2 linked regions of the Bombyx mori genome follow. Each later gene encodes a partner of the first gene's protein in a complex. Links are inferred from orthologs where the notes say so. Each region holds a gene or a part of one and is shown on either strand. Other genes may lie near its edges.

Evidence for each region. Proteins that work in one complex are often made in the same cells at the same time.
Region 2: eIF3i (region 1) and eukaryotic translation initiation factor 3 subunit E share a complex: the UniProt entries of both Homo sapiens proteins name them as parts of the eukaryotic translation initiation factor 3 (eIF-3) complex. The link is inferred for Bombyx mori from reciprocal best matches to the Homo sapiens genes EIF3I and EIF3E.

The regions. Positions count from the first base shown.
Region 1 is NC_085121.1:5,014,906-5,025,874, reverse strand, and holds eIF3i (eukaryotic translation initiation factor 3 subunit I), read left to right. Parts: upstream 1-4,557; 5' UTR 4,558-4,633; coding exon 4,634-4,636; intron 4,637-4,761; coding exon 4,762-4,988; intron 4,989-5,098; coding exon 5,099-5,231; intron 5,232-5,923; coding exon 5,924-6,091; intron 6,092-6,224; coding exon 6,225-6,683; 3' UTR 6,684-6,884; downstream 6,885-10,969. Other genes in the region: serine/threonine protein phosphatase 6, read right to left, coding at 7,368-7,558, 8,238-8,350, 9,281-9,435, 10,011-10,152, 10,475-10,620, 10,881-10,969. UniProt on the Homo sapiens protein: Component of the eukaryotic translation initiation factor 3 (eIF-3) complex, which is required for several steps in the initiation of protein synthesis.
Region 2 is NC_085111.1:12,352,582-12,363,450, forward strand, and holds the end of eukaryotic translation initiation factor 3 subunit E, read right to left. Parts: intron 10,378-10,869; exon of another isoform or gene 10,239-10,377; coding exon of another isoform or gene 10,052-10,238; intron 9,145-10,051; coding exon of another isoform or gene 8,144-9,144; exon of another isoform or gene 8,051-8,143; intron 8,020-8,050; coding exon 7,778-8,019; intron 7,456-7,777; coding exon 7,321-7,455; intron 7,229-7,320; coding exon 7,034-7,228; intron 4,960-7,033; coding exon 4,725-4,959; coding exon of another isoform or gene 4,578-4,724; exon of another isoform or gene 4,403-4,577; intron 4,075-4,402; coding exon 4,048-4,074; 3' UTR 3,974-4,047; downstream 1-3,973. Other genes in the region: large ribosomal subunit protein mL53, read left to right, coding at 388-548; uncharacterized protein LOC134198937, read left to right, coding at 557-733; zinc finger protein 280B, read left to right, coding at 8,144-9,144, 10,052-10,238. UniProt on the Homo sapiens protein: Component of the eukaryotic translation initiation factor 3 (eIF-3) complex, which is required for several steps in the initiation of protein synthesis.

The sequences.
Region 1 (10,969 bases):
ATTAAAAAAATATACAAAACACGATTATATCTTTTAATAAACGAGTTAAAAAATAAAACAGTATCGTTACGTAGTCGTCATTATAATGTAATTAATATACATGTTTGTTCGGTGTGAATTTATTACTACGATCAACAGTAGTTTTGTTTTTCGGTTTTGCGAGTCGTAAACTTAATTAAAACTAGTGTTATGGTATAATCTCGTATCCAAGTCGGGCATCACCATGAAAATTGCAAGCTGTTCGAAAACTCGGAAATAATGTAGTAATAAAGAAAAGGACGAGATAAAACCATAATAGTAGTTTTAATTATAATGAACAGTATAAATACATCCTAAAATATATATACATTTGGGAATGTAGGATAAAAGTGGAGCAGCACTTTTATATAGTTATAAACGCGACTAAACTTCACTTCACATCATTGCCATAATTTTATTTTACTCAATGCTCATTACACTCAAAACTCACAAATCTACTGTCGAAATTTCTATACTAACAAAACTTCGTGCATACTCCTTTTCCGAAATCAAGTAATAAATCATAAATTGTATTGTTAGTTAATAAATAAAATCACAAAATCATCAAAAAAATATCATTAATATTCATCTAACATCGTTTTAAAGACTTAATATTAACACTGTCAGTAATCACTGCCTATCGTAATTAAATTTATTTGCCGTGTATTGTTAACTCTCGTATTGTAATGTAATGTTAAATATGTAATAAACGTTCCAGCAACGGTGAACAGTTACCATTAGGTGTAGGAGGCGAATTCGTCTCGTTGTAAATTAAGTGACAACCAAAAAGTTCGTTCTAAGGACTTAGGTTCTAGTTGAATAGGTCTTAATACGCCTTTGCAGTCAAAATGGAGGTCTATCGGATTTTTTATACAATATATGCGTGAAATCGCAATTTGTTGAACATTATTCTTTAAAATAAATTTCATACTTTTATAAAAAGGACTAACAATGTTTGATGTGAGAATATCAAAAAGTGTTTAGCTTAATTGTGAAATTAAATCATGTCCTTTACGATCCAACTCAAAGTCATAGCTTATAAAACAAATCAAACAAGCTTGTTTAATTCAATGATTCTTGCAGTCGCTTAAAATTTATTGGAATAATAATAAAAAACAAAAGCATGTTTGCCAGGTTTTTTGGTCTCAAAATAACAGTGTAATGCGCTCTCTTAAATTTAGCATCGACAAAGCACACAAGCTGAATCTTGAACTCTCGCGAGAACACAAATTGTAAGTAAAATGATTCTGTTACCTGAATGAGCGATACACGTCCGTTCCTCATCGTGTTACCATTAGTTAAGTATTAGTCGATAATAATGTTTTGTACATTTTTATTAATTTAGTTTGTGAAAATATTAAAACAACCAGTTACGAAACTGCCATCAAATGCCTAAGTAGTTTTTTTTTCAATTAATTTTGTTGTATTTTAATTTAGATAAATATAAGTTGACGTCGTTGGTGAAATTATTAGTTAATTGTGATAATATTCAGTGATAGTATGTCGGATCTAGACCGTTCGAAGATACGCGCGTTTCGCGATACGCAACCACGGCCCGTGAGCGCTCGCCTTTATTCGGTCTCACTATGCGAATACTTTGCGACAATTGGGTGTCTTTATTTATTTATTCAATTTTATCTAACTTAATAAAAAAAATTAGTACATAAACAACACCATCAAAACGACGGTGTCAAATCTAAAGTCTGAGGTAAAGATGCCTTTATAGATTTTTAAACGTGTAAAAACAAAAAATCGTAAATTATAAAATGTAATCGCGAATTGTGCATCGTTCTATTAATATTGTGTATGTAAATGATAATTTAAGTAATATTGACACTTATTTTGTTATTAGCATAACGTATTGTTAAGATGAAACTAACGGCAGTGTTAAAAGGGAACTAGATTCGTAAGGATGTTATTGGCGTTGTACAAAGGATAGTATTGTTAGTAAATAAACAATGAAATTGGCGCATTACTGGCGAGTACCTAATTAGATAAATACACGAGGAGCCTCCTGAGGCTAATACGTTTACAATGTAAATATTATTAAAGTTATGCTTCGACCAGAAAAATGGCCACACTCACTTTTCGTTGCTTTTCGCCCGTTCAATTTTTTTTTAAAAAACGTAGCGTTTTAATATTCTATTTTGAAATTTAGTAACAAATTTGACTGACAGAAGCCGTATTATGAGTATTTGATTTGCTTATGTTTGCCGCGTTGTTTTGTGTTTTCTGAATACTATATTACAGTAGATCTCGATGCCACAGAGAATCTTCAAGGTGGTGATCGGTTTTCAAATTAGAAGGGCACGTATTCGTGCATTCGTTCGACACACGACAATAACAACACTGTCAATTAAACAAAACTAATATACATAATTCGGAGTCTATAAAAGAATTCGTTTGAAAGCCGATCCGTAGATAATATCTAACTCGAAAATATTTTGACTGATATAGTAATGTAACAAACATTATAATGTTAATCTATTTATAAGGGTGTAACAAAAACTTAATGCATTTCACAATTTCTTTACAGTCCATAAGAGAAATATATTTCACATTTGTAGGATAAGGTTTGTTGTGTATAAAAAAATAGCGTTTCAATTTCTTTCGGGTAAACGGAAGATTGATATTTGTGTACGTTAGACATTAAATAGTTATGAAGACGAGTGTGAAGCTGTACCAGGTATTTGGAACATTGAGCGATTGTTGTATGTAATTAAGTATCTCACAGATGTTTGAATTCTAAGTATCCACGTAATAATAAATTCTACAAGTTACATTTGAATCAAAACGATCTGTTTACGTTATGAACACGCAAACGTGTTTAGCTTTACTCTTTTATGTGTAACGTATTCATTATAATGTATTGATATACACACTATTATAAAGCAAATTTAAATACAGTCGTTTCACTTTATTAGTTTAACAAATAATAACATCGTAAGTGCCTCAATAACTAGAAACGTATCAAATATTGTTTTGCACGAGAATTCAATGTGGTAGAGAGTGTGCTGTATTTCACATGTTTGGTTGAGCTCGCTCAATTTCAAGACTTATTGCTTTCAGAACGTAGAAATAATTTTAAGTATTATGAATACCATAAGGTTCTATGTTTGTACGTAGCAAATCACATTAGTTGCTGATTGCTGTACTATTCTCGATGGATTAATAAAGGCTGTTTGTTATACGACCAAGTTAAGTGCGTAGTGACTATTGATTGTGAGTTTTGTCTCTCGTTTGTCTCGTTCGAGTGGTGCGCCGGATGTTAGTCAAAAACAGTGTACTGGTTTGCCAAGAGAAGTTACCTACAGTTGTGTTTAGTTAGCAACGCATAACGTGTTTGTACTTTAATTTGTTTTTTAGTTGTACTCTTGGAAATCAATGGTTATTAATTTAAGAAAATAAAATGTATGTCAAATATTGTTGAAAATGTTTTATTTTTTATCCGTCTTTTATAGCGTCAAACGAAAAATCAGTTATTTCCTGGAAACATCGGGGTTAGCTTTGAGAATGTTTGGAGATCACAGTATCGATCAACCCGAATTGTACTAGCGAACATTTCAAGAAATCTTGCAAGTGGACATATTTCAAACCTAACTTTGGACTGTGGGTGCATTATTTTTAGAGCGTGGACTGTATTTTGGTGCTAGAACCGGTCACCATCCTCGTTGAACCCGTCGCTTGCGACGATGGGCTCGACGAGTGAATTAGCCCATAGACACAGCCCACTGAGTTTCTCGTCGGAGCTTCTCAGTGGGTTGCGTTTCCGATCCGGTGGTAGATTCTGCGAAGCACTGCTCTTGCTAGGGCCAGTGTTAGCAACACTTCCGGTTTGATCCCCGTGAGCTCACCTATATGTTAGGATGAAGCTGAAATAGCTTTTCAAGGCTATAGCAAGGATATACCATAGGTAGGAAAAAAGAAAAGAGAAAAAAAAGAGGTGCTAGCTTCAATAAAAACTAGATTCAGAGCGAAGAATTTTTGATGTACAACACGTGCACGTACGACCAGAATTTTATTGTAATTCTCAAATATTAAGTGTATAATCTATGATTGTAACTAAATTAAATGTATGGACTTTTTGGCGGGAACGCGAGGAGTGAAGTTGTGTGATTGGTTTTATTTTCTCTATTTAGTGTTTCTTCAGGTTTCAGTGTGTAATAACGGTGGTTTATTAACTGTTTAATATCTGCGAAAGTGCACAAATGTGGGAAAATGAAACAAAGCCGCTAGACGTAGCAATACGGGATCCTCCAAAAAGTCCACTGAAAAAATCTTAGTAAATGACACCATTTTACTGAGATTATATTTCATCCCATATCATCTCATCTCATTTAATTTAATTTCATTTCATTTCACTCCATATTATCATTTTTCATAAAAATAAGAATATAAATTAAAATAAGACATGACCTAAAGGTCTTAGTTACCAGGTCATAACATCCTATAAAAATTTACCATAGGCTATAGAGCTCAACTATGCGCCAAGCGAAGGCTAAATAAAAATTAAGAAAAAAAAATCTTCTGTCAAAAGGTCCGCCGCCTGCCACATGTCACCACATCGTTTTTATTGTGATTTATAATAAACTATTAAATAAAATACTTTCTAAACATGGTAAATAACACTCTTATACAAAATTTTAATGCCTCCAAAGTTATTGTGTGAAATATCAAACAAATTCAATCACAAACATAGCTATGACTATAAATTAGGTAAATTACTTACTCATGTAATTCCAGAAACCTCTTATGCTGCAAGGGCACCAGCGTGCCATCACACAGATCAAATATAACCGCGAGGGTGACTTGCTCTTCTCCGCCGCTAAAGATTCAAAACCAAATGTTTGGTGGTCACTGAACGGCGAACGTCTTGGCACTTTCAACGGCCACGGTGGTGTAATATGGTGCCTTGACGTCGACTGGCAGTCAATTAATCTCATCACAGGTGGTGGCGACAGTTCCTGCAGGTATTATCCTCAGTATATTATAAACAAATAAAGTGTTGAAAATTGCATTCTTTTTTCATGTTGTTTGCTCAAAGATGAGTAGGCTGTTGATAACACTAAACGATGCACAGGTTATGGGATCTGGAGACAGGCAAGAATATTGCAACACTCAAATCCAACTCTTCTGTAAGAACATGCAACTTCAGCTATAGTGCATATCAAGCTGCTTATACCACTGACAAAGCTATGGGACACCCTTGTGAGGTAATTACATAGTATATACATTTTATTTAAATAGAGAAACATGAATTGAGGATGAGAAAGACTAATGGATATTATGACTGGCAACTTTAACATTAGAAGAAAAGTAAAATTGTATGCAAAGCTAAGCATAAATATTATTATAGTTGTTTCCGTTTCAGAACTTTCATTCTCTATTAAACCACAATGTGAACTTGTCTGCTTCACTTCAAAGTGGTTTATTGAGGGCCATGCCTTAAAAAAAATCTTATTTTTTGTTCTTTAACATATCCGTCAATTAATGATTACAACTTAGTATTCAAGAGTAATTCCTACATACCTTGTATTTCTTTAAACTAAGATTTGTTGACAGTACAAGTGTCATTTATGCTGACATTTCACTTTGTTTTTTTTTATTATGCTCCAGACATTTAAAATTTATTATTACCGAAAGGCTCACTTGTAAATTTAATACCCTTTAACTTAAATCACAAAATATTTTGAGCAGGAAATACCCTTTTTCAAACTGAACTGAAACTTTGGAGTCGGTTAAATTATAGTGTGCTTAGGTAGACAATATCAACTCTTGGGAATCTCTATTTTAACCCTTAATGTGTTTCCTATATACATATACAGTAAGTTTTTACTAACTAGTATTATAATTTTGTATATCCTGTGATAACAATTAAGATATAAAGTATTATGTCAATTTACAGGTGTTCGTTATTGATACAAGAACAATTGATGAAACAGTGTCAGGTCAAGCTCCTATTTTAAAATGGGAAATCACAGATTCAAAGGTTACTTCAATGATTTGGGGTTCTTTAGATGAGACAATTATCACTGGTCATGAAGCTGGTGACCTTATACAATGGGATCTGAGGGTATGCAAATAATTATTCAATAGACTAAGTAAATTCAAATATTATCTACTTTCTCCATGCAAAAAAATTATCTTTCATAGAAATTATTCTGTTTATTTTTAAATAGTGCTAATGATATCTAATTATTTTTCAGACTGGTAAAAAAATCCACTCTGTTAAAGAGCATACCCACCAAATCACCGATATGCAACTTTCTCGTGACGGCACAATGTTTGTAACTGCTTCCAAGGATCATACTGCTAAGTTATTTGACACTAACTCATTAGAACTTCTTAAAGAATACAAGACAGAGAGACCTGTAAATTCTGCTGCTCTCAGTCCAATCCTTGATCATGTTGTACTTGGTGGTGGTCAAGATGCTATGGAAGTGACAACCACATCAACCAGACAGGGTAAATTCGATGCTCGTTTCTTCCACTTAGTATTTGAAGAGGAGTTTGGCCGAGTGAAAGGTCACTTTGGTCCTATCAACAGTTTGGCTTTCCATCCAGATGGAAAGTCCTATGCTTCCGGAGGTGAAGATGGTTATGTTCGTGTTCATAACTTTGATCAATCTTACTTTGACTACACTTTCGATTACAATAGGGAGTAGTTAATTTGCAATACTCTAGTGTTTCATAAAATTATAAGAAAATAAAGCCTCATTAAAGTTTTTTGTATATCATTTATTTAAATGCATGCCACTTTATCAATCTACATATATAATAAAACAATTAATTCAGTACGTCTATACATTTAGGAAATTTTATATAAGTAGAAAAATAATAATTAAAGAACAGTAATAGAACATAAACTGGACATTTTTAGAATTGGTCACCATTTGTCTGTTCACCCACATTTGTCACATATTTCTGAATCTATTGAAAGGATTTTCACTGCATATATATTGAAACATTGTATGGAAATAGTTTAACCTTTAAAAAACTGGGATGCCTTTCATTCCACTGCTGAGCATGGATCTCTTCCACCCATGTGATATGTAATGCAGCAGAAAGCTAGTTTGTAATATATTCTGTTAATCCCATTATTCATTTTCAACAGACTATTTCATGATGGTACATATTTAATAATAAAAGGTAAAATTAAATATATAAATATAAAAAACGAAGGTATAAATAATGAAGATTTAAAAAAATTATAGTAATATGTCAAAAAGAACAGATCTCATAATAAAGAACATAAAAGTGGGTCAATAAACAAAAAAATTGTAATAGATGCAACATTTATTAATACAAAACTTTACACTTATGGAATACTTTGATCACATAATCTCAGCTCAAAGGAAATATGGAGTAGTATGCTGTGGAGGAACTTCTCGTTCGGTGTCAGGCACTGCTTGGAATAACCTTGCTGTTCTATCATGAACAGTGTTGAATTCCAAGATTGAGGCAACATTACCACATCGGTAACAGTAGTTAGGCGCCGACCAGACTGTTACTAATCTTTTGTCAAACATGTATTTATAACCTGCAGAAAAGTATTAGGTTAAATAGAATCTTAAAATGTGTGAAGATATTACATTTACCCAACAAAGCTATATACCTGATTACATTAAAAAAACATTATTACAATATTGAGTTTTTATTTTTTCTAGCATAATGAAATGAATTCCTGGCGCATCTGGCATTTGGTGGTTACTGGATCTCATAGATATGTGACTATTGCTACCCATCTTGAGACATGAGGTCCAAGTTTTCATTACATAGTAATTTCAATTACATTTTTGAAATTCTAGTTTTTGTAGATTTGATTTTTATTACCCAGTATTAATCCTTCATTGCGAAAATTATTTGTAAGCATGAGTTACTATATATTTGGCTGATAAGTCTGCAGATTTAAACATTGGCATAGTTGGATTGGCACGAGTAGACTTCAGTGCTTGATATTTAATTCAAACTAGCAATTTAAAAAGAGTGGCACTACTGCTAATTCAATGATGGTGAGCCTTCGGATTGTGTAGTCTGTAGTTCGAATGTAAACTCATCTTATGACATGACCTGACGTGAGAAGATTTACGAGATATTATAATATTTCTGATGGATTTGTGATGTTTTGAGAGTTTATCTTATGGTAGTGGAATGGTTTTCTTATGTACACTAAGTTTTAATTTGAACACTTAATAAAATAAAACACTAAAAATACACACCATCATTCACTAATTGATGTGCCCTGCATATAAGAGTTAAATCATTGTAATTCATGAAGAGTTCTGTAACCTGACAGCCAAACAACCATCCAGCTCCACGAGGACTTACTGACCTGTACATTAAAAAAAATGTATTATTACATGTTTTTTTTTATAATCATTTGGATCTGGGTTCTCCACAATTAAAACACTAAATCTTATCATGATCATACTGACACTTAGTACACAAAGTGACCTAGTTTGGACCACAAACACTATAAAGTATTAGAAATATTAGAAATAATATACAGTCAAAATCTGTTATAACGACATCGAAGGGACTGCTCATATTCAGTCGTAAAAACCGATAGTCGTAACAACCGGTGATGTTTAATGTGTATCGCGCAAGTACAAATAAATCGATAGGGAATTATTGGAAAAATATATTTACATAATACGCGATTTTTCTTCAATATTAATTTGTTTTCTTTTTTTTTGTGACATTTTTAAAGTTTCATGAATAACTCCACAAAGTTTTGGTGCGTCTTGTGTATAGATAAGTAACAAACTAACTGAAGAAATATGAAGAAGCGGACTTTGACTACCGCATGCACGTGTTTTGTTTCTAAGAATTAGAAAAGACCCTACACTAAACTAAATCCTATTGTTTTCTTTCGTGATTTTAAAAGCCATTGAAGACAAATGTGGATACCTATTCAAATTGTTTACAATACAGCTTAGCCGGTCGTTCTAACAGATCTAATTCTCCGAAATATTAGTTAAATGTGGTCGTTTTATGAGGTATGTCGTAGAAAGCAATATTTTTAATAAGGCGGTCATATGGCATTCAGCCGGGACCTTTGTTCTTGGTTATTATAACCGGCATGTTGTATTAAACGATGTCGCAGTAAACGGTTTTGACTGTAATAATTATACAAAACACAAGATTAAACCGTAAAAGTACTTTTAATTAGTGAGGATGAGTGAAACCAGACAATGTCTTACCCAGAGCCTACATTCTACATCTTTCATATACTCTACATCAGCATTAGCTACATACTCACCACATTTTCACATCAGCAGGATCTGACCACAACAAATCACAGAATGCACCTTTGTGTGGAATTTGTTGATTTCTATCAATGCATCTTATTTGATCAATCATAGATATTTCTGGTGATAGACCACCGTGCACACATAGGACGGTTTCATCAATTAACTGTAAAAGTTGCTGACTTAAATGATTTGTTGTAACATAATCTAATTTAATTTTTTTATTGCTTATATAGATAAAGGAGTTTACGGCCCACCTATTATTAAGTGGTTACTAGTCTGTAAACATGAACAAAAGCCAATCTTATCCCCCACCTCGAGACAAAGTTCTAACTCTGTTTTGCAGTACAATGCCTGCTTCATCTTAGAAATAAGCGCGATAATGATATCTACCTGTGCCGGTTAACAAGATGCCCTACCTAAATTAATTATACAAATTATACTTAGTACATACCTAGTTGGTTCAATTTTTATTACAAATTAGTAATCCTCCATCATGGAAGTCACTTGGACACATGTGTTCAGTACTTATATCATTAGAAAAATTGATACCATCATTTTATTGTTGAAAATGTTATTGACTTCGTTAAAATTGCAAAATTGTCTGAAGTTTTCAGCCATAAAACTATGACAAACATGAACCATAATCCCAATTTATTCTTAAGAAATAAGCTTTATAACTAAAATTTTAAGCTAATTTATATTTTTATTTTAGATAATATTTATTCAATGTCCACTTACTGCAGCAACAGTGAGCAAATCAAAAACTCTGCAACAGTCTTTCCATGCATTTGCATTTCCATATTTATTGAGACATTCATCATAAAATCCATAAACCTTAGTTATTTGACATGTTTCATGATTACCCCTTAATAAGATTATCCTGAATAAGAAGATTTGAATATAAATATTATTAAACAAGATGTTGAAAGGCAATGTGTATCAACGAAATAATATTGACAAAAAAAAACAATATTAATTTTGCATCCATAAATACTTATTATCTGGAGTTACCTTTATTTGTATATTATGAAAAAACTTATTCTGATTAATGGGGAAATTTATTGATTTCATATAACCTCAATCAATATTGATATAATGATAATTGATATTAATAATAATTGATATAATTACGTAACAGCAATATGTATTTTTTCATCCATATCTTTGACTTAATACTTTAAATTTTTTAAAGTACAACTCACCTATCTGGATATCTAGCTTTCAAGGCCATGAGCAAGGTTAGTGTTTCTAAACTATAATATCCTCGATCCACATAATCTCCCATAAATATGTATTTTGTATATGGCACTTGACCACCTATGTGAAAAAGCTCCTCTAAATCATAGAACTGAAAATATTGAAATTACATTTTGAAATATAGTTTTTCTACAGGAGCTCTTAGACATTTCATTACTAAACATTTCATTATTATTATTCTTATACTTATAATTGAATTTACAATTTATTAGTTGCAGTAATTTAGAAAATTAACTGATGGTTTTATCCAACAAACTTTTTTAAATGATTTAAGTTGTAAAGTCACAAGAGAATAAGCTGGTTAGTTTTCCGATGTAATTTTAAATGTTTCAGTTGGATCAGGCAGCTTACCTGTCCATGAATATCACCACAAACCGTCACAGGTGTCTGTACCGGCTGAACATTAGGTTCTTCAAGTAACAAATCACAAACTATATTGC
Region 2 (10,869 bases), on another chromosome or scaffold:
AGGTTCAAATCTTGGTATTTACATCTATTTGCAGTTTAACAATCATACAGTATATAAATTATTATTGAAGAAACACATTCTCAAGAAATTAGAATGGGAAGTAGACTTCAAAGTATATAATTTGATTGAATTTACCCATGTCACATACAATTGCAAATTGTAACTGCAATAGTGAATTGTGTCGGAACCATACTGCATCTTTTAATTTTCTGATATTCTCAAGATACAATTGTTCTAATTTAAGTGCATCTGTTAAATAATGTGTATGACAATGAAACATTCCAAAATATTATGGCACAAGCCAGCAATCAACACTATAAATGTATCTGCACACTAAATTATTTACTTATTTAATTATTATTTTATTTTATATTTATTTTGTTTCAGCAACTGCAAAAATACAGAAAGTGACTTTAAGAAGTGAGAATCTTACTTGTCTTGAAATTCTCCAATTATTGAATAAGCACATTTCTTCTTTAGCACCTGTAGAACTACCACCAACTACACTACAAACTAAGTCAGATAAAAAGAAGACAAAAACAAAATAAAAGCAGAGATGGCAAAACCTAAAGGAAACCTAGATGTCATTGAAGAAATATATCGTCAAATACCAGCATTTACTGATGTATTCTCAGAAGACACATTTTATGTTTTTGTTACGTTTTTTGTGTTGTCTACAATTTTAGTTGCCTTTGTTTTGTCCAGGTTCATTACCATAAAACCTGTAGAATAGATTGTAACCTTTAAATTAAAGTATAATGATTTATTAAAAAATTTCACTCTATTAATCCTGTCCCTATATAATGAAAAGGGAATTTTAAAATTATATCATTGTATGTATTACCTACTTGTTTTGTATTGCATTTGAAGGCTGAAGGTGATATTAATATGGCCCTTTTTTTTTCCTACCTAAGCTTATAGCCTTAGGGGCTATTTCAGTGTAACCCTAACGTTTGTAGGTGAGCTCACGGGGCTCAAACCTGATGACGTTGCTAACACGAACCCTAGCAAGAGTCGTGCTTCGCAGAATCTACCACCGGATCGGAAACGCGACCCACTGAGGAGATCCGGCGAGAACCTCAGTGGGCTGTGTCTGAGAGTTAATTTACTCGTAGAGCCCTTCGTCGCAAGTGACGGGTTCGACGAGAACGGTGACCGGTGCTTGAAGTACCTAAAAGCACCGTTAGTGGATCGGGAGGATCCGAGATGACGTGTTTTGGGCGACGTCGACTGCTTTCCATTCTGTCCGCAGGATCGGGAATGTAGTTACCGGCGGCCACGATGAGAGGGTTCTCGTGTCGTGCCGCTTTATCGAAGTGGCGCATCGACGCCGACTGAAGATACTTACTGATGGACTCTAAGTCCAGGTCGTCATGGAGGTCGACGTTCCTGACGAACCACGGGGTTCCGACGGCTATCCTGCAAAAACGGGATTGAATAATTTGGAAGGATTTTAAGTGAGTGCGGGCCGTGTGAGCGAACACTACACTTGCATAGGTCATGACGGGGCGTATGCAAGTTTTGTAGAGTGTCACTTTATTTCTAAGGGAATATGGCCCACTGAAAGGTGAACCAATTTTTTTTTTTTGTTGCCCTTGTAGGCAGACGATCATACGGCCCACCTGATGGTGAGTGGTTACCGTCGCCCATGGACTTCAGCAATGCCAGGGGCAGAGCCAAGCCGCTGCCTACCGCTTAATACTCTCCACAAGCCTCGTTTGAAGAAGGACATGTCATAGCGCTCGGGAAACACCGTGGAGGGGAGCTCATTCCATAGCCGGATACGGTACGTGGCAAAAAAGCTCTCTGGAAACGCACTGTGGATGACCGCAGTGGCTCCAGGTAGTACGGATGAACTCTACTCCGGTGGCGGGCGGTGCGATGGTAAAAACGAGATGCCGGTATCATCTCGAACAATTCCTCAGAGCACTCCCCATGGAACATACGGTACAAAAAACAGAGGAAACCGAAGTCCCTCCGCAGACCCAGAGGTTCCAAACGATCCGTGAGAATGGGATTATCGACAATCCGAACGGCCCTCCTCTGTATGGAGTCAAATGGAAGAAGCTGGTATTTGGGAGCCCAGCCCAGAGATGGGAGCAGTACTCCACGCGAGGCCGGACTTGTGTTTTATAAAGCAGAAGCCTTTGTCCAGGCGTGAAGTACCGCTTCGCTCTGTTGAGGACTCCCAGCATTTTGGACGCCAACTTGGCTTTGCCTTACAAATTACTCCGAAACTGGACATCGCTCGAAATGTCGACCCCAAGTATCCCAATACTCTCGGAAGGTTGCAGGGATACTCCTTGGAATTGCGGCGCCATGACAAAGGGGTCCTTCTTCGCAGTGAACGCGCAAACTTGTGTCGTTATCGGGTTGAATTGAACCAAGTTCAATTCACCCCATTCGGAGACTCGCCCCAGAGAGTTCTCCACTTCAGACACAAGTTTTGATCGTCTCTCTTGCACCACGCTCCGAGAGAGACTCTGATGGCCGATATATCGCGCATCCCCCGTGCTGTCATCCGCATAGCAATGCATGCCATCAATAAACAGCATGTCATTGATCTACAGGATGAAAAGCGTGGGGGAGAGCACCGAACCTTGTGGAACGCCAGCGTTAATGGTCATGGTATCAGAACAGTCACCGTCTACAACGACCGTGATGCTCCGCCCATCCAAAAAGCTAGCGATCCACTTGCAGAGACCCTCGGGGATTCCGTAAGATGGTAGCTTCGACAGAAGTGCCCTATGCCAGACCCTGTCGAAGGCCTTCGCGATATCAAGGCTCACAGCAAGAGCCTCGCCCTTGCTCTCCAAGGCTTCAGCCCACCTGTGAGTAAGGTATACAAGAAGATCGCCAGCTGAGCGACCGTGACGGAAACCGTACTGTCGGTCACTGATCAGCTGGCGATCTTCAAGATACTTCAGGAGTTGTATATTTATAATTCGCTCCATCACCTTGGAAAGCAAGGAAGTTATCGCGATAGGCCTATAGCTCGATGGGTCCGACCGGTCACCCTTCTTGGGGATAGGGTGGACGTGGGCGTTCTTCCATGAAGACGGAACCCTGTTAGTGCAATAAGAGAGGCGATACAAACGCGTTAGCGCAGGCGTCAGCTCAGGGGCGCACCTTTTCAGAACCACAGCAGGGATGCCGTCCGGCCCACTCGACTTATGGACGTCCAGGAGTCGGAGTTCCCGCCTGACTGCTCACTGTGTAAAGCAGATCTCCGGCATGGAACTGTCACACCGGGGGATGTTCGGTGGTGTGGCACCCCCGTCGTCCACAGTCGAGTTCGAGGCGAAGAGTTTGACCAGAAGGTCAGCCTTCTCTTTCGCACTATGGGCCAGACTGTCATCGGACTTGCGTAGTGGTGGGAGACTAGACCTGCAGAAGTTACCTTCTGCAGCCTTAGCGAGCGACCAGAAAGCACGGCTCCTGGCGGGATAGCTCTTCAGTCGCTCGCCAATTCTGGCAACGTGCTCCGACTTCGCCCTGGCAATAGCCCTCTTATAGGACCTAGAAGCGGCGTTAAATTTCCGCCTTTCCTCAGAGATATTAGGATCCTGGCGTCTCCTGGCATCATTCCATGCCGCGTATGCGGACCGCTTGAGGCGTGCAGCGTCCCGACTGGCATTGTTATACCAGGGTCCACTGCGACCCCCGACGGGCACCTCGGAAGAAGGAATGAACAGTTCCATCCCCCGAAGCACCACGTTTTTAAGTCGGTCCGCACAGACGTCAGGATCACCAGAGGAAAATATATGGTGAATATATGACTGAGGAAATATGATGAATGGTCACCACTACTTATGGATATCCATTATGATATAGAGATACCATCAATGTCAAAGACACAGACAAGATACTGCCTATTGTTGAAGAATCTTAAACTGAATGTGATCACTTATCATCAGGAGACTTATAAAGTGAATGAAACATAATGGTTTATTTCAAATAATACACTAAAACTATACAAATCTGTTTAATTTGTTTTAATTATGTCATTATCTTGAAGTAAAAAAGCTTCAAGTAGCGTTTTTTCAATTAAAACTCTTGAGCACCCCAACGTATCTGAAAAATAAAGATCAAAAATTATATTTTTCAACACTTTAAAAGGAACAGCAACATGTAGTTGTATTATAACTGTTCCCGAAGCTGAAAGTGGAATAAATGATAAACCTTAAATTAATTACTAAGCATACACACACTTAGTAAGTATTTTATCATATTCATAAATAAGTACAAATATAGTGAAGCCACAACGTAAGGAAAAATTGTAAGTGCCCACATGTTTTCTCATCCCACATCAATGAATGCAATAAAAACAGCAATAATATTTATTTATTGCGTGATTAATTGAAACTATGTACTACCTATTGACATTATTTTTTGCGAATGGCTTTTTTTAATTTTAATTCGTGTTTTTAACATATTCAAATATGAGAATGAGGCCACGGCTCACCTAGCGTTGAGTGGTTACTGGCGACCCATAGGTATCAACATGTGAAGACCTCCACCCACCATAAAACAGAGATTTGAATCTGAATTGTATAGTACTACTGCTGTCCCACCAATTAAGCTGAAGAGCATGACTGCTTCACGGTAAAAATAGACACCGCATGGGAGAGTATTTTATGGTTGCACGGATAAATACCACCATAGGGCATAAGGTTCCAATACATCAGGAATATTTTAATTATAACATAATTTTTTTTACTCACATCTTGATTGCGTGCTTTATGTTTCCTTTCCACTAATGAAGTCAGAGCTTCGGATCTCACTGCCAGTGAATCGATTCTCTCAACTAATTGTTGATATGGCGAAAGAGGTTGTGCACCCATCACCACGTGACCTAACTTGGAATCGATCTTCGCGTCCAGGCGCGCATTACGGATTAAGTTCACGATCCAGCATTCCGCTTCATCAGGCTGCATGTTTAAGTTCTCGGCTAACATTCTGTAAAAAAATTTAAACTTTCTCTCATCACATTGATACATTATATCAAAATAATTTTCAGCCCACAGCCGTCCACCGCCGGACATACTACCCTGTCAAGAAAGTACCAGGAAAAGATCAAAAATACACAAAATGTTAATTATTCGTCCAAATTTATTGTATCATCTTCAAAGTATGCTCTTTTAGAAACGATACACTTACGCCAACGAATAATCTAATCATAAAAATATTTGAGTTTAGGAAAAAGAAAGTGCTAGGCCATATCTGGTGGATAAGGTGGTTGCTTCAAGCATTTGTTGAGTTTTTGGTCAAAATTTCGTTCACAATGATGGCCTTGTCCGAAGGCGCAGTATTGTGATGCAAAATCCAAGAATTTTCTATCCACAAATCTTACATCTGGGTACGCATCGACTAGTGAGACACAGAAAGTTTGGCGGCTATATCTCTCAAACTTGAATGAGGATGCTCTGGTCATTATTTCCTTCACTTTTGCGATGTTAACTTCAATTGCTGACGTTCCTGGTCATTTTTTTTATGATTGAAGGATTACTGGTGGCCCGGAGGCCTTTCCAGTTTCACCAGGACAGGTGGGCGAGCAAAGGCTCAGCCAGGAGGGGTGGGATTTACTAACAGCTACCCGAGCGCCTCCGAAGGAGACCTAACAGCTCAAGAGTAGCTGCTTCGCGAATGAATCTACTACCGGATCGGAATCGCGACCCGCTGAGAAGATCCGGCTAGAAACTCAGCGAGCTGATTCATGGGTTAGGTTGCACGGCGAACTCTTTGTCGAGTTCGACGAGTACGGTTACCGAGGTCCCTAAGCCTGCTCCTAGTGTTAAAGCTGAAGGCGTCTAATGTAAAGGTTATTGGATCTGATGGATCCGTAAGGACGTGTCTAGAACGTCGACGGTGACTGGCTCCTGCGTGATCAGGATTCGGGGAGTAATCAGCGGCGGCAACGATAAGGCGATTATCATGACGGTTCCTGGTCTACCCGAGTGAGGCAAATCTTCCATCACAACTCCACCGATTTTGAACAATTTTTATCATTCTTATGCACGCGTTTTGGACAAAGTTGATTTACCATAAGCTTTCGAGAGGTAACATTTTCAGTGACTCCGAAAATGAAATTTGATTGGCGATGCAAAATTTAAGACAAACTCTTTGTTCGATGCTTTTGTTCATAATGAAATTCGCAATACTCACTGGATATAATTAAAAACAGCACTGTATAGTATATCCACTAAGTATAGTAGATTAAATTATGTAGGTAGCATATTATGCTACTCAAACTCCGCGCCAAAATCGAAAACAGTTGTGCCAATCTTATAAAAAAAAGTAGGGAGTTTGGAACTTTTTTTCCTTTTCCCTTTTCGCTGGTGGCCTAAGAGGCTATTCCAACTACGCCCGGACAGATAGGTGAGCTCGCGGGCTCAACCTACGAGAATTTGCTAACACTAGTTAGCAGTAGAGCAGTGCTTCTCAGAATCTACCACCGGATCGGAATCGCGAACCACTGAGAAGATCGGGCGAGAAACTCGGTGGATGGTGTCTATGGGTTAGTTCGCTCGTACTCTTCGTCGTAATAGACAAGTTTAACGAGCACAGTGACCGGTGCTTGAGGGTCCTAAAAGCACCGAGAGTGAATCCGGGGGATCCGACAAGACATGTTTCGGGCGACGGCGGTTTTCCGTTGCTCTGTCGCAGTCGGATAAATAATTAACGGCGGCCACGATAAGAGGGTTTCGTGGCGCGCCGCTTGTAGAAGTAGCGTTCAGTTTGAAACCAAATACAATTCCCGATACTTTTTTGACTGAATGTAGGCCTTTTCCAATTTACGTAATTACAATTCTAATTTATTTACCTCAATGAAATTGCAAATATACACCTAACTTATTAATATTGAGCTTCAGTGCTTGTAATATAAAAATAGAACCACTTTTATTTCCACGTGCACACGACACCAACTGCATCTAAATATGAATGTGTCAGTGATTATGGTCATATCTTAACCAGTGTGCGAACACTAGTTAGTGTACATAAAAACGTTAACAGAGTAAACGTTCACACTTACCCAATACTAATGACTTGATGAATACGGCAGAAAGTTTCAAAGATCATCAGTCGAGCATTTTCGACAAACTCTTCCAAACAGGCGATTAAGAAAAAGTCAGTCAAAAGTACAGCTTGGCATTGATTCAATTTTCGACGGGCCGCTTCAAAGTCAAAATTAACGTAAAGATGTTCAATGAACTCTGTGATAGGATCTCTGAAAAATAATATATATTTTTATTTCGTATTTGCGATAAACACAAACATAAAAAAGTGTCATCATATATCTTAAAAAAAAATTTAAAGCACCTATAGGTGTAAGCTTCTTGTTGAATAACTTTCACAAGGTCCTTCAAGGCATTTCTGCGAGACCTGTTTATGATTACTGCAGTAGCCAAGTAGCGGAGGATGTGGGGACACATCGTCTGGATGGCGTTCAAGTACCTGTAATACGATAATACATATTATGATACCTTTTAAAATAATATAACTGATTCGGTTGGGGTCGCGGTTAGTGACCATTATTTCAGTACCTCGGGTCCCGGTTAGATTTTCCGTCTGAGTTAAGGTCTCTTTTGCAATTGGATCGCCTTTGGTTTCATTACCACTCGGGCTTTGGAATGTAGAATATACATATAACTAAGTTAATGTAACAACATATTTTTAATTGATAATTATTCTTTTCATTGCCTATTATGTTGCCATATTAGAGACTCGAAATTTTTCATAAAATCTGAAGATAAACATTCCAAAATGTAAAACTTACAAAGGCTTATACAGGAACATTTCGATGATCAAATCACGTCCTTTGACATGATTGAAGAACACGAATAGCGACCAGTGAACCAGCCAGGTCCGTTGCTGTAGGGCTTGCATGTTGCTGGCAGTGGAACCGGCTCCACCGTTATCGATGAACTCTCGAAGTTTGGTTAGATCATCGAGCGCGCCATCCCAATTTTGTACCAAAATTTCGCTAGCCAATTTACCCCAAAGAACCGACAAATAATTCTGAAAACAATATATTCGTTGTTTACCTTGCTAATTATTATTTATGATAGATTCTCTTTGGTGTCTACAATGTTATTTTCTTTCTCAATGACATAATGTACTTAAAGGTGACATTTGAAATTAAATGCAAGTTTATATCGAAATGCCATGTACAAAGTTAATAATACGAAAACACGAAGAATCGAAAAACTGTAAAAGTTTGCAAATTTTAATAGACGATGACGAACATTCAGCAAATGTGCATTTTGGAAAATGGGCGGATGGGACAGTTGATACTAACAAGAGTACCAAATCACCATGTCTTATTGTGAAGATAGTTTCCACCTTTGAATCAGATCTACTTAATTTAGAATCTAGTGCTAAGCTGCTAGAACCCGATAAAGTGAACGAATATTTAGACACTAACACTGATTGCCGCTTGAATAATAACAATCGAATCATACATCAAAATGATAGTAATGAATTTACTGAAAAACATATCAATAACGTTCCCAAAGATTACATCAACCCCTTACAGTACAGTCTTGATAGAGTGAATGAGAATAATGCCCGAATTATGGAAAATATTAAAATATTAAATAGAACATTGGATTTGACTAAAAGTCAAGAGATTTTAGATACAATATACACGAGATCTTTGAGACATCCTTACTACCGTGGGTCAAATTATATCCATGAAGCAGGAATAAAAAAACATTTTAACTGCCAACATTTAACAACAGAATGCAAGACACAACAGCGTTGGCAAATCGTTTGGACTTGCATTCAATGTTTTCAAGTATGGCCTCGTCGAGATCAAGCAATTGAACATCCTGGTGATAGTTGTAATCCAAAAGATATTGAGGGCATTCGAGAAATTAAAACCTCGTCACTATTACAATGCGAGTTTTGCGAAAAAGTATTTACAAGTATTCCAAGACTTTTGACTCATAGCAAATTGCACTCTGTCGTAAACAATTACGAATGCACTACTTGTAGTTTAACATTTAAATCATATAAAACTAACGAGCAACATTGGCTGGTGTGCCCGTGGTTGAAAATATACAGTTTTGAATTGCCTAAATTTTTGTTGTGCAACATTTGCGACCGTAAATTCAAGAATTACGATCAACTCTACAATCACAGGTGAAATTCTCTTCGCATTTTTCTTATCTTATAGGTGCCTTCAATTCGATTTCCATTCAAGGCAGATATCATACAATGGTAATGGTCCAATGGTAAGTGCTTACTGTCGCTCGTACACCTTTGCCTACTGCTAAGGGCTCTTTTCAAAACTCATCCGACGATGAGGATATAAAATTTCAAAAAACACCACGGAAGCGAATTCTTTCTAGAAATGGATTTACAAGGCAAGCTCTTGAAACGCAGTGGTAGTGGCAGTTACATAGTGGTAGTGGTAGTAGGAGTGTACTCTACTTCAGAAATGGTACTGATGACTGACATCTGCTGCATATAAAGTATGGTATAGATCACAGGGGGAACCAACCTCTATTCGAAGAAGAGAAGTCAACAAACACTCTGAACGCTTCTCTCTCCTCTTATGAAGCCAAAGAAAAATAGTACATACGGATCAAAGTTGGGTTGTGGTAGGCTACGCGAGGTCGAACCTGTGCTTTATTTAGGCGCTTAAGTTTTTATTAAGGAGTGAATTACAGCCTTATTCTAGTAAGGAATCATAAACAAGAATGGACACTCTGTCGTTAGTTTGAGTTTGATTTACGGAGATTTACTTTTTTTTTCTTTTTTTTATTGCTTAGATGGGTGGACGAGCTCACACCCCACCTGGTGTTAAGTGGTTATGTCTAAGTTCTAAGGTCTCAGTATAGTTACAACGGCTGCCCCACCCTTCAAACCGAAACGCATTACTGCTTCACGGCAGAAATAGGTAGCGCGGTGGTACCTACTCGTGCGGATTCACAAGAGGTCCTACCACCAGAAGACTTACTACTTAAAGCTTGTAAGCATCACACACTAAGATTATGTGCATGAAATAAGATGGAACTCTGTAATTAAATTAATAAAATATTTGCAGATATAAAGCTGAACATTTCATGCTGAAAATCATTCAAGATATTAAAACCGATGAGCCAATGATAAAAGCGTCTATCAGTATTTTAGCTCATCAATGTGAGCTATGTGGTCTTTGGTATAACGCCCTTTCAGAAGTAAAAGCCCACAGAACACAAGTTCACCAACAGTTTGATGCTATAGTTTATTAATATGCAATTTCCCTAAATGCTAGTTGTTACTTGCAATAAATTGTATTTTTTTTACTTACAAATAGATGTAGTATTTAACATTCTTATTAATTAATACAAGAAATAAGAACTGAAATATATTAATTTACAACTTCATAAATCTTTAAAATTAAAAGTGTTACATTTTATCTTTTTTTCATAGATGGGTACACAATCTCATTGCCCACCTGCTCTATTGATACTGGATACTATAGATATCACAATGTTCATATTATATCTACATAATAATATATTCCTAACCTATCTAATACATGAAGTTGAATTTTTTTTTTTTTATTGCTTAGATGTGTGGACCAACTCACAGCCCACCTGGTGTTAAGTGGTTACTGGAGCCCATAGACATCTACAACGTAAATGCGCCACACACCTTGAGATATAGTTCTAAGGTCTCAGTATAGTCACAACAGCTGCCCCACCCTTCAAACCGAAACGCATTACTGCTTCACGGCAGAAATAGGCAGGGTGGTGGTACCTACCCGTGCGGACTCACAAGAGGTCCTACCACCAGTACCCAACTGTATTGTAGAATAGCTGTCCCAACCTTCAAAACTTAATAACAGGTTCATGATAGAAGTAGCCAAAACGGTGATAA